2 linked regions of the Caenorhabditis elegans genome follow. The protein of the gene in region 1 interacts with the protein of each later gene in a biochemical or structural test. Each region holds a gene or a part of one and is shown in the gene's direction. Other genes may lie near its edges.

What was found.
Region 2: the proteins of nlp-40 (region 1) and aex-2 form a complex in vitro, tested with the Caenorhabditis elegans proteins (2 studies listed by BioGRID, with this or other methods).

What each region holds. Positions count from the first base shown.
Region 1 is NC_003279.8:9,407-17,391, forward strand, and holds nlp-40 (Peptide P4), read left to right. Parts: upstream 1-2,088; 5' UTR 2,089-2,155; intron 2,156-2,211; 5' UTR 2,212-2,234; coding exon 2,235-2,283; intron 2,284-5,544; coding exon 5,545-5,754; intron 5,755-7,066; coding exon 7,067-7,179; 3' UTR 7,180-7,431; downstream 7,432-7,985. Other genes in the region: homt-1 (Alpha N-terminal protein methyltransferase 1), read right to left, coding at 321-440, 689-742.
Region 2 is NC_003284.9:9,650,457-9,655,330, reverse strand, and holds aex-2 (G-protein coupled receptor aex-2), read left to right. Parts: upstream 1-2,214; 5' UTR 2,215-2,215; coding exon 2,216-2,383; intron 2,384-2,466; coding exon 2,467-2,621; intron 2,622-2,669; coding exon 2,670-2,820; intron 2,821-3,494; coding exon 3,495-3,644; intron 3,645-3,691; coding exon 3,692-3,901; intron 3,902-3,947; coding exon 3,948-4,079; 3' UTR 4,080-4,332; downstream 4,333-4,874. UniProt on the Caenorhabditis elegans protein: G-protein coupled receptor for the nlp-40 neuropeptide. The activity of this receptor is mediated by G proteins which activate adenylyl cyclase.

The sequences.
Region 1 (7,985 bases):
GAGCAGACTTTGTTAAAAATGATGACTATGTGCACGGCAAGACCCTTCCGCATAAATGCGCCCCCCTTTAAAGTCGTAGAAGTGGAAAAAAAATGCACTGTAGCAAAAAATCGAACATTTCTGTTCGATTTTTGAATTTCTCGAAATTTTTTAAAATAATTTTTAAAATAACATTTTTATTTTATTTCGAAAACTACCGATTTTAGAAAAATTCTAAAATTTCGATTTTTTTTGTTGATTTTTCGATTTTTAAAATAAAATTTCATAATTTTTTAAACCGATCTTTCTTGCTTTTCCTGAAAAATCGATGATTTCTATACCTTTTTCTTCAGTCCTTCAATAAATCGTTTCGACGCCGATATGTCGGGCGCGTGAAGCGCTTCGAATCCGCCGAGCATTCCGTTGACGTCCTGGCTCGCGCGGCTCCAGTATTCCTCCGCCTGAAAGAGAATAGTTGAAAACATTGTTTTGAGACTTAAAAATTTTTTTTTTAGTTTTTTTCAAAAATTCTTACATGTTATAGAGTTTTTTTTTCAAATTTTCAGCTTTTTTCAGAAAAACTTAGTATTTTCGATAATTTTAAATAAAAAAGTTTTTTTTCAAAAAATGTTTCGGTTTTTTTTTTAATTTTTGGTCTAAAATTCTCCGCAAAAGATTTGCGTGCTGGCCGAACTTTTTGATTTTGTACCTTTTCATAAACATCTTCACCATTGTGAATTCTAGAAGATGATGAAGAGCTCATTTTTGATGTTGTGACAGCTGCTCCGAGCAATCTGGAGACTTTTGTGACGAAAAGACGAGAGGTCACGGATATGATGATGATACTGGAAATGAGATATTTATATTTACTAGTTCATCGGGAAAATTATTACGAGAAAGATAAACAGACATGTGCGTTTTTTTAATGGAAGAGAAACACAAGAAAAATCTGGAAAACTAGGCCACGGCTATCAGTGTCGATTTACGGCATACGGTCTCGACACGACTATTTTTGTTAAATGTGAAGGTATGCACCTTTAAAGAGTACTGTAGTTTGTAACTCTCATTGCTGCAACATATTTGACGCTCAGCGAAAACTACAGCAATTCTTCAAAAGACTACTGTAGCCTTTGTGTTGACTTACGGGCTCGATTCTCGAAACGAATTTCTGCTCGAATTGTGACAGCCATATTCAATTTGGTATAGTCTTTTCGTATTTTTTGCCATTTTTCTGTTTTCTTCTAATATTTAATCTATTATTAAATTATGTCCGTAACTCCCTCCAAAATTAGAACTGCGACCGAACAGAGATTCGTTCCGCCCCATATTCCGGCCAATCAGATCGAGTAGGCGGAGTTCGAAGTCGCTGATTGGTTTGAAAAGTCGCGGAAATTTGCAAGTTTTAAGGTAGCGAAAACTGATGACTATTGTAGCGCGCTTGTGTCGATTTACGGAATCTCGATTTTCAGGAATGAATTTTTAATTACATTTTTTCGCTCAATTAATATTCTAAATAAATAAATAAATGATTTGAATTAATTTAATTTCATTCGAGCCCGTAGATCGACACATGTGCTACAGTAATCATTAGTTTTCGCTACGAGATATTTTGCGCGTAAAATATTTTCCCGTAATAACTCTACTCCGACAAACATTACGACCTCCATGGAGGCCTCCAGGTATAGGTGAGACTCTTGTATTTCCAATTCAGAGACAATGCGTCACTGGAAGAGAAAACGAAGCGGAAAAAAAAACACGGAAACCCAAAAATAGTGTTTGCCCCGCTCTATTCTTCTCCAATAATTTCTGTGTCTAATTTTGAAAGACTCCACCTGTGTATGCCTTCTCGACATAAACCCCCCCCCCCCCCCCTATCTTACATGGTACTGATAACACTTTCAGTCTTTCACACTTTTGGCGCGCAACGCCGCTCTTTTTTCGCGGCGAGCTGATGACGTCATCAATTTTTCATCGCTTTTGATTATCTTCAATGTTCTAGAAGGGCACATAGGTCATCCTTATTTTTTCCTTCTCTTTCTCGTGACGGCCCTTGTTGCGCATGCCCGCCCCCTAGAGCAGGGCGTGGCCTGAACGGCGGCTCCGAGAGCTACTCATTCTTGCCGCGTCACCCTCCAGCGCCACCCAAACTTCTTCGGTTCTAGAGATCGAGAAGAACGTATGATTTTTTAAAATTATAATTGTTTCTTTCGAAAAAAAAAATTTCATTTACAGTAAGCCAAACATACACAATCAACATGAAACTCGTAATTCTGCTATCTTTTGTTGCGACAGTTGCGGTTTTTGGTGAGTTTATGCTTTAGATAATACTTTTCCGCCAAAAATACAGTTGCCGGTCTCGGTATGGCAATATTTTTGTTAAATTCGAAAAGCAGTGAGTAATGTAGTTTCGAATTTTCGTTTCTGCTTAATTTTCATCAATTCATCGTTTTTCTCACGACTTCTTCTTTATGAAAAATCAATGAAAATTCTGACTAGGTCAGCTTAGGGGTGAGGTACCTAGAGACGCCACATATGCCAAACGGAAGCTGAGATCATTGGCTACAAGAATATGCTTTCAAATTCTGCAACGGACCTCTGGGAGTCTGGAAATTCTTGTCTGAAATTATGCTTTTGAATGCTCGAAAGTGGTAAGAATTTAGAATTTATTACAGAAAAACGTTTAATTAATAAAATTAGTTTTATACTTGAAACAAGTACTGTATGCACTGTATCAAAACACATTTTCATCTTTTCTAGGTATTCAACTTCACGTTTTTCTGTAATAAATTCTAAATTCTTACCACTTTCGAGCATTCAAAAGCATAATTTCAGACAAGAATTTCCAGACTCCCAGAGGTCCGTTGCAGAATTTGAAAGCATATTCTTGTAGCCAATGATCTCAGCTTCCGTTTGGCATATGTGGCGTCTCTAGGTACCTCACCCCTAAGCTGACCATTCCCTAGTGAGCAAACAAAATTTTGAAATTACAGTACTATTTAAAGGCACATTGATTTTTTGGGTCAAGCAAAAATTTGTCGTGTCGAGACCGGCTACGGTATTTTCGCGAAAAATCGCAAAATCTTGCGGCTGGGATATACTTGTGCGAAATACTTTTTGCATTAATTTTGAGCAAAATTATTTTTTTTAGACTTTTTGAAATCCAAATTTTTTGGATTGCGAAAAAAACCTGTGTCCGGTTGTTTCATTAGGCCAACAAAGTTCCTGGAACACTGATGAAAACCATGATAGAGGCGGAGCATAATATCGATTTTTCGTACTTTCCTGTATTTCTTCTTCTATATGGCCGAGTAGAACAGGATTAGGGGTAAAGTCAAAATTTTTCTCATATGGATATCATATGGATATCAAAATTTTTCTCATATGGATATGGAGAAAATTTTTCTCATATGGACTTTGAAAGTTGAATCACTTGACATCTGGGAAATTAGTATTCCAGGCGTAAGTCGGATCTGTTAGAAACGGAATACTTATAGGCTTCGTGAATTAGGTAGACTTTCAATTAATCTGATCCATGGGAGTCAGACGCGGTTTCCAGGCCTGACGCCTGCCTCCAACTTGCCCGCCTCACGCCGGTCTCTCGCCTCATTTCTGCACTGTGACGAGACAGACGAAGGTCGCCTTCTGGCGCCCGCATGGAAATCCTACGAATATGTCAGCTTCTGATGGGACTCCGTAAATCGACACACAGGGGTACCTCAGACATTTCCCTCCCCCTTACAAATTGTTAGGACAAGGAGGGGGAATTCATCTCCACTCGAGACACACATATGTTGTCGTCAGTGAAGTGTAAAGATCTAAACGATTGCGTGTATGAAAAAGCACTCTATGATCACCTTTTTCATCTTCCTACACCCTTTTTAGGTGTGGTGCCCATCGAGCACTCACGCCAGGCAGGGAGAGCACCGGTCCCTGACTAATGGGATTCGAATGTTTTAGACCGGAAATAGGAGCGATGAAAGAGCATAGAAATGATCATTTGGAAATCACGTTTAATTAGGTTACGGCGAAAATTTGCAAAAAAGAGCAGGAAACTTGGCTCAAATCCTTCGAAATATAACAACTAGGACTTCCATGTAGGCGTTAAAGCGCCCTGTCTCTCACCCCAATCCGTACCTTAAGCTGAAACAAACGTGAACTTTTTTCATTTCTTAAAGGAGTATCGTCAATGGGAAAATTGTTTTAAAATGTAGTATTTGTACTTCAACTTCCAATTATTGCAAAAGAAAAACGGAAAAAATCCGTTAACATTCAGCATTTTAAGTCGAAGAAATCTTTAAAATTTAACTAGAGAAATCCTAGGCCACGACGCTCATTCGAATTTTAATTTGTTTTGATATTGTATTTTGAAAAAAAAACTTAATACAATTCCTTCTTCCCAGTTTTCTATAACTTTTTGAGAAAAAAACGAATTAAATTCCGAAAAAACTACATTTAAATCAATATTTTGTTTACGAATATGGCCTAGAAATCGCGTGGTGGCCTAGGATTCATTTGCGCGCGAAATTCAAATTCCGTCACTTTCGTCGATTTCAACGGCTAAATGCTGAATGTCAACGGATTTTTCCCGTTTTTCTTTTGCAATAATTAGAAGTTTGAGTACAAATACTACATTTTAAAACAATTTTATTTTTGGTATTTTGACGAAAAATTGATTTATTGGTTTTTTTGGTTGTTTGGGACCAAAAAATCCAAAAAAAATGTTTGGCGTGTCTAGTTTCGACTCGAGACTATTCTGTATTAAAAATACATTAAAACATGTATTTTAACACAGTTGTGACGTCATAAATGTATTTTGATACATTTTGCAACATTACTTAAATAACCCCATTAAAAATTAACCTAAGCATCAAAAATTTTTTGGTTTTTTTGGTTTTTCGAAAATTTCAATTTTTTTTGTTTTTTGGTTTTTTTTGGTTTTTCAAAAACTTCAATTTTTTGTTTTTTGGTCCAACATTTTTTTTTGGTCTCAGCTCTGCTGCCTACCCTAGAAGAACTAATAGCGCTTCAAAAACTGATGAAAACGTTCAAATTTGTCGAAATATTACGAAAATTTGAAAAGTTGGCTCAAATCTAGATTGAATCGGCCGATTTTCCACAAGTTTCCAAGTTTCCACAAGTCGCCACATATCCCGAGAAAAATCGATTCAAATTGTTTGAAAATTGGAATACTGCGAATTTTGAACCAAATTTCCCTGGCTTCTCTGTTGAAATACTTGAAAATACCGCGAAGCAAACAAAAAATCTAATTATTACGTGAACACAAAATTCTGAAAATGCGTATATATTGCGCAACATATTTGACGCGCAAAATATCTCGTAGCGAAAACTACATTAATTCTTTAAATGACACGCTGTATGTGGTGATTTACGGGCTCAAAAAATTATTTTCGAAAATCAAGCCCGTAAATCCACACGTAGTAATTATATAAAGAATTACTGTAGTTTTCGCTACGAGATATTTTGCGCGCCAAGTATGTTGCGCAATACGCAACCCCATATGTTGATATATACTGATGTGAGGATAAAAAACAACACAACTTTCAGCGGCTCCATCGGCTCCGGCAGGTCTCGAGGAGAAGCTGCGTGCTCTTCAGGAGCAACTGTACAGTCTGGAGAAAGAGAACGGAGTTGATGTGAAGCAAAAGGAGCAACCAGCAGCAGCCGACACATTCCTTGGATTTGTTCCACAGAAGAGAATGGTCGCGTGGCAGCCGATGAAGCGGTCGATGATCAATGAGGATTCTAGAGCTCCATGTAAGTTAGTGGTGGTGGCCGGAAAAGAGAAAACTCGGCCAAGCTGCTCGGAGTTTTTGAATTTTTGATAATCCGAAATAAAAATTGATTGCTCGAAAAGGAACAATCTTTTGGAAAAAAACGAATTTTGTCATTTTTTTCAGCAAAAATTGATTTTCGAATTTTTCCAATAAAAAATCGATAATTTCTCCCCGTGCAGTGGAAAACAAACAATATTTTTTTGTTGATCGTTCTCTTCCAAACCCGGAATAGGTACACACATTCCTGCGTCATCCCATTCTCTTATCACACTTTTTTTTCGAAAATAAAAGTGTAGAGACGGAAAAGTGAGAAAGGAGTCAATTTTATGCGAAATTTTGCATGATAATACACTCAAATTAAAAAAACTGCGTGGCGTGCACTGCAGAAAACCTCATATTTAGGCCCCGCCTTTTTCTCGTCCACTCACGGAGAAAAGGCAAAAATTTGGGGACCAACCAATATCAGGCCGCCGACATCCTACGGGTTCCGCGCGCCGCTATGTTTAACTCGCTGTGGGTGTGGCGAGCTGTCTCCGCCCGCTGCGAGTTAAACATAGCGGCGCGCGGAACCCGTAGGAAGTCGGCGGCCTGATATTGTTGGTCCCCAAATTTTTTCCTTTTCTCCGTGAGTGGACGAGAAAAAGGCGGGGCCTAATTATGAGGTTTTCTGCAGTACACGCCACGCAGTTTTTTTATTTTGAGTGTATAGGTCTCGATTCTCGAAAGTATGACAGTTATTTAAATGATGAACTCGTGATGACTGTTAAATTTTTGGAAATTTCGGGGGAATTATATCGATTTTTCGATAAATTTACAGGAAAAAAGTCCAAAATCTAGGTATTCCATGGTAGGCAGGCGCGATTTCTTGACGCCTGCCTGGAATCTGTCCGCCTCACACCAAAAAATGTCAATCATTTTGCTGAAAACCAAATTAAGAAATGAAAAAGTGCACTTAGAGATGATGACGGAGGTCGCCTTAAGGTCAGACAGGTTAAAAAACCGATTTTAGTTGAGTTTTCCCGAAATTTTCTGAACAACCGAATTAGAAATATGCTGCTTGTCATTTTTGAGTAAAAATTAACGAAAACTTCGACCAAAACCACGAAAAAAATGAAGAAAATAAAGATTTTTCGAGAAAATAACAACAAAATCCAGCAAATAGTGAAAAATAGTTTTATCCGAGAAAAAGTAGTTTAGACGCTATGAACTCTCGAAAATCAGATTTTTTCAATCTAAAAGCCATAAAATTATCGATTTTTTAAAAATTCTCACTGAAAACCGGCGAATTTCAGTGCTCCACGCAATCGAAGCCCGCTTGGCCGAAGTGTTGAGAGCCGGAGAACGCCTCGGAGTCAACCCGGAGGAAGTTTTGGCGGATCTTCGTGCTCGTAATCAATTCCAATAAATATTCTTTGCCCTAAATACTTTAAATTATCCATCTGACAACTAAAATTTCGGTTCTTCTTGGCTTCTTCTATTTGTGAAATGGTTTATTTTCCCCCGAACTCTCAAAAGGTTTAAATATTGTTCGATTACCCCTTTTTATCAATTATTTTCTTCAATTTCTTATTTATCATTATTTTTCTAAACGAAGACGGATGTGATTTTAAATTATGTTAATGGACTATTTTACAAACTGAATAAATTCAGCATGTTGGCAGGTTTTTTCAGTAGTTTTTGAGTGAAAATAGAGGTAAAAAGACAGAAAATCAATAAAAAATGAAAACAAAACTATGAAAAATGGTTGAAAATCGAGCAAAAATCGTTCAAAAAAAAATAAATTCAAAAAATAATTGCGTCGAGAAACGCGTCAGTAGCCGCTCTCTGCGTCTCTCACCCTTCAGCACGCGGAGAGAGCCACGAGAAATGCGCAAAGGCTAAATTCGGCGCGGAAAATCATTTTTCAAAATAAATTCGACGAGAAAATCAATACTTAAGTAATTATCGATTTTCAGCTCGTTCAAAAAATTTTCAGAAACGTTTTAGTCGTTTAAAGGTTTTTTTAAAATTAAAATCGTCGGAAGTAAAAAAATAGCGCGGATGGAAATCTACGGAGTGCGGAGCGAACAAACGCGCGGTAATTCAAATGGGTAGAATAGTCAAAATTGAAAATTAGCCAGCATCGACCGATTTTTTTAAAACTTAATGGATTTTTTCGTTTTTCTTTTGTGGTATTTCGGCATTTAGGATTAGATAGCACATTTTAAAGTA
Region 2 (4,874 bases), on another chromosome or scaffold:
ATGTATTATTGAAAAAAAACACTATAGGCTTTAAACACCTTCACGTCACTTAATTTAATTAAAATCTTTCCGTTTCTTTTTTTTTCTCGCTACTTTCTTATGAAACGTTTATAAAAATTGACTCCGTCACTTCTTTCACTTTATTATTCATTTTTCCACACATTCATTTTCTCGAGAATTCAACTGCGTACTCATTCTTGTGAAATGTTTACCCGCTAGAACACTTTGGGTAACGTGGTACCCAGCAACAGTGCGTCTCGACATCTCGAGGTTATTCCCAACCCAAATCCAGCAAATCCAGCCGCCAACGCAGATTTTTATATACTCGTTTGCATTTCTAATAAGAATCGTGGGCACTTGCATACGTTGTGATTCGAGATATGTCCTCGTTAATAGAAACAAGAAAAGAGGAGAAAATGCTAAAGTAAATATGAATGTTTAAAAAAGAGGGACAAGAAAAAGCCTCACCTTGCTGCAAGTTCTTTGTTCTTCTAAATATGAAAAGGTTATTTTTTTGTTCTTCATTAACATCGCCAAGCGCTCATTAATGCTCTCAAATGGCACTAGGTCACGTAAGTTTCAAAGTTTACAATACAAAACAAAGAGGCTAAAAGTCAATTTTAAAATTAAACACACTATAGTATGTTTCTCCACCCACTTTTCAAAACCTTATAACTTCGTATATAAATCTGTTAAAACTCCGAAAGCGACTTGATAGATCTTGAAAGATTTATGAAACCGTCGAAAAGTGTTTCCGTCAAACCAACTGCAGCATTGCACTCAAAAAGTGGAGACCATTTGCTCCCTTTCCAGAGAAACAAATAAAATGTGCTCAGGGCCAAGGCCACCGGCTCAAAGCCACATGTCCTGAACGATTTCTAGTGCTCACTTCCCAATTCCTCAATCCAGACGATTCTAATTAGACATTTCGCTCACTCATTTCCCTTCATCACCACCCATATTCCTTGGTCCGTTTTAACATTTCAATTGATGACACTTACGTATTCTTAGAAACACGATGAATTCCTGAAATTTAAAAAAAATCTTGTGAGCCCTTGATTCGGGAAAATTTGATGATAGTACGATAGATTGACACTTTTCTTATTACTTCCAATGTGTTTGAGTATGTGTGCATGATAATTTTTTAAACTTTTAAAGATGATTGCTTTAAAAAAAATTGCTTTCACCTTCCTGAAATCTAGCGGAATATTATTCTTGAACCAAATCATAAATATTGTTTTTTATAAATTTTTCTAAATATGGATAATGACACTGTGCTGGATTTTGACCCTTTATAGTTAGTCTTACCATTTACACTTTTCCATGGATATAAGTACCTTCTTTTTAGGTATCAATGTTTGAGAAACTATCACGTTACATTCTGCCGAAAAAAAAGTCTGAATATGAAAATAGAAGTGTTGTCATGTATAAATAACCTTTCCTTTTTTTATTTTTTTCTGTTACCCGAATATTGAACCAAGTCCTTAATACATCCTGCCACCCACGTTGGTGAACACTTAAAAAGCGGCATACCAATTATACCCATTGCTCATCGAAAACCATTTAGGTGCAATAAAGACGGAAAATGTTCTATAAAAGAAAAGAAGGGCCTCACGAGTCATTCACAAATTAGTCAAATAATCCTCATTTTTCAGTAAACTTTGAAGCGTTGGCCATCACTAGAGCAAAACGTTTTTGTAGTGTTGGTGTCACGTGCGACCAAATGCTCTGCAGATACAATTATGCAACATGCAAAAAAGCATTCATAGATTTTTGCTCCCCATGCTCTATATATCTCTCCAGTTATTTTCATTTTATCTGGACAGAAGACGAAGGTTGACCATACCCGTTTTCTCCTACTTTCCTTGCGCCTCACAATCAGCTCATGTTTCAAGACACATTTTCTCACTTTTTTTTTCCAAAAAGACATAATAGTTACGTGAGAGCATACACATATGTATATTTTTCAATTGACATAATGATGTCACGTTCACATTTTATCATTGAATGGAAAAGTGCTTTGAAGGATCTGGTTTAAAATTCAACAAGCCTATCAGAGTAATCTAATTCTTCCACCTCATCGTTCTCTGTCCTGTTTCTGACACTCTTTGTGTTTTCTTCTCCTTTTTCGTGAGTTTTTATGCGGACCCTTTTTGTTTCTTTTTTCCTGCCGTGAACTTATCTCGACCTTTTTTCTAACAAAACAAATTTCAGAATGAACTCAACGGACATTATTGCAAATGTCACAAAACCATTTGTAGAAAACTTAACATTAGGAGAAACGGCGTTTTATATCAGTTGTGGCATTGTTGGTACAGTTTTCAACGCATTAGTACTATGGATTGCACTCACATATATCAATACGGAAGATAAGCCTAGACAGGTAGGAAATCTCTTTTAAAAAAGAAATAGATCGAAATTCATACATCTTGAGCTAAGAACGATCTTTACAAAAGCAGTTTTCAGATAATTGTTATCAACATGACAGTGGCGGATCTTTTGATGTGTATTGTGTACATGAAAACTCGCCCATGGCTCTCACATTTTAATCTTTGGCTTTGCCATCCCTACTATGTTATCATTTGGACGTGTCAAATGTGCAGTTGCTTGAATCTCGTTTGGTACGATTTTTGGAAAATGGTGTCATGAAAAAGTAGTTTCTATTTTAGGTTGAATGTTGACAAGCTGATCTACATTCAATTTCCGTTGCATTACTATCAAATTGTGAATCGGAAACGGCTTTTATGGATTACTGCAGCGACATGGGGAGGACTTTATGCAATGAACATCGCACTTGTCACCTTTTTGAAAATAACTCGAGTAAGTTATTTTTATTGCAAAACAAAACATTTGATCACGACGAATGGAGTTTTGAAAAGAAAAAAAATTAGATATTGAAACAAAATACAGCAATGTCATAAATTTGAACGATAAAAAACCAAAACATTAACGTAAACTGAAAGTTTCAAAAAGGAAGATGGTACCTGTATATTATACACCATATTAAAAAACATCATATTAAAAGTTAACAATACATTTTTAAACAAAACATTCTAAGTTATATAGCGTATTGTGTTTTTCCTCTACAAGTTTAAAGGGAGGCACATTTTTTGCAAAGAGATCCTGCCGCGCTTTCACCTTTCATACCAAAACATTTTATTTAAAAAAATGCTGAACGCGCGGTGAGATGATTTTTTATAAATGTCTATTGAAGTCGGGAAAAAAGAAAATGAAATACGCTGTATTACACAAGTATCAAAACCTCTAATAAAAGTTTTGCAAATCGAAATACTGATCAAATCTGAATTGGAGTTTTTTTAAGACCCACGGAAATAATATTGAAATCAATATTTACATGTAGGTATCTTAGGTATGAAGAGCTGACTAGTTAGTTCTGAAATACAACTTAGAAAATGTTCCATGTAGATGACATTTTGAAAAAAAAAACGGAAAAATTTCAAATTTCGCCTTTTCAAATTAAAATAAAATTTCAGGGAAGCTGTCTTGGAGTATCACTTAATCCTTATGTATATCTTTTGAGCCCCATATTCTATGTCGTAATGATTCTTACGTCATTTTCCTTATCAGCTTTGATCTACTGCATTGCTCACAATTTGACCCATATGGAGGAGCGGCAACGATCGGTATTCAAAATTTAGTCAAAGTCTCTTAACGATAGTTTTTTTTTCAGAAACTGTTTCGTCGGCTGTTCTTCTTGTTTTCCAGCACATTATGGACTTTCTTCACGTGTCTTCCGTATCGGCTCTTGTACCTATTCAGTATTTTTTGTGGAGAAACATGTCAAATTAACAATTATTACAAAACTGCAACCAACCTTTTTTTCCGTCTTTTAATCGTTGGTATCATGATTAATCCAGTGATCACTATTTGGACTCAGAGAGTGAGTTATATTCCCACTGTGCCACATTATATTCAATACTTTGAAGATTTATCGCCTACGCCTTATGCGTATGTTTGGGCGACTGCGTGAGAATTCATCAACTGAAGTATTGATGGTTAGCAATCGACGAGCATCTGAAAGGCCGCCGGAGCACACCCCCTTACGGTGTGATATGTAGATCGTAGTAATTCGCAATGTATGTAAGTAAAACTTGTGGAAAAAATGTTCACCATGGTACCCGGTGACATTTTCATTTTCTGATATTTCTTGAGCAACGGTTTCCCTCTTCTGAGTTTTCCCCAATGCCATACTGTCCAGCCCAGCATAATTTATTATTACTGCTCTCGGTAAACTTTCAAAAATATTCTGTGTTCTGATGATGCATTCAATGTTTACCAGTTACAATGTACTATAATAAAGTTGATGTTTTGATTTCTGTTTAGTTTTAGTGTTGCAGGAATACTGAACTATTTTTGCACAAGTGTCTTTTGTTCCGACGGTTTGTTTGGATGCGTAATTTATTGAAAGAGAGCAACAAAACACATAAGATTTAATATATTTGAAAGAAAATGGATGGGTAAAACTTCAGAAGTCATATAAATTGGTAAGAATACAACTACATGGTTTTGAGCCTGGCGGGCAGAATTAACGGGGAACATTAAACAGAGTTGTGGAAGAGCCGATAAGATGGTTTTCAAAGAATATGAATAAACTTTAAGAAAAAAAACAGAAGAACATAATTGAATTGAATTGGAAACAGAAAAGATATTATAAAAAACAATCGGTGTTACATATTGAAAGTTTAAGGAACTTAGGATCATCAAAATATAATGCTGAAACTTTTAAAAATCATCGATTTTTAATACAATAGTGTTCTGAAAATCTGAATTGATGATTGAAGCAATGATTACAGCGTGAAGTTGGAAACTAATAAAAAAGTAAACAATTAAAATCATCATGTTTGAAGAGAAAA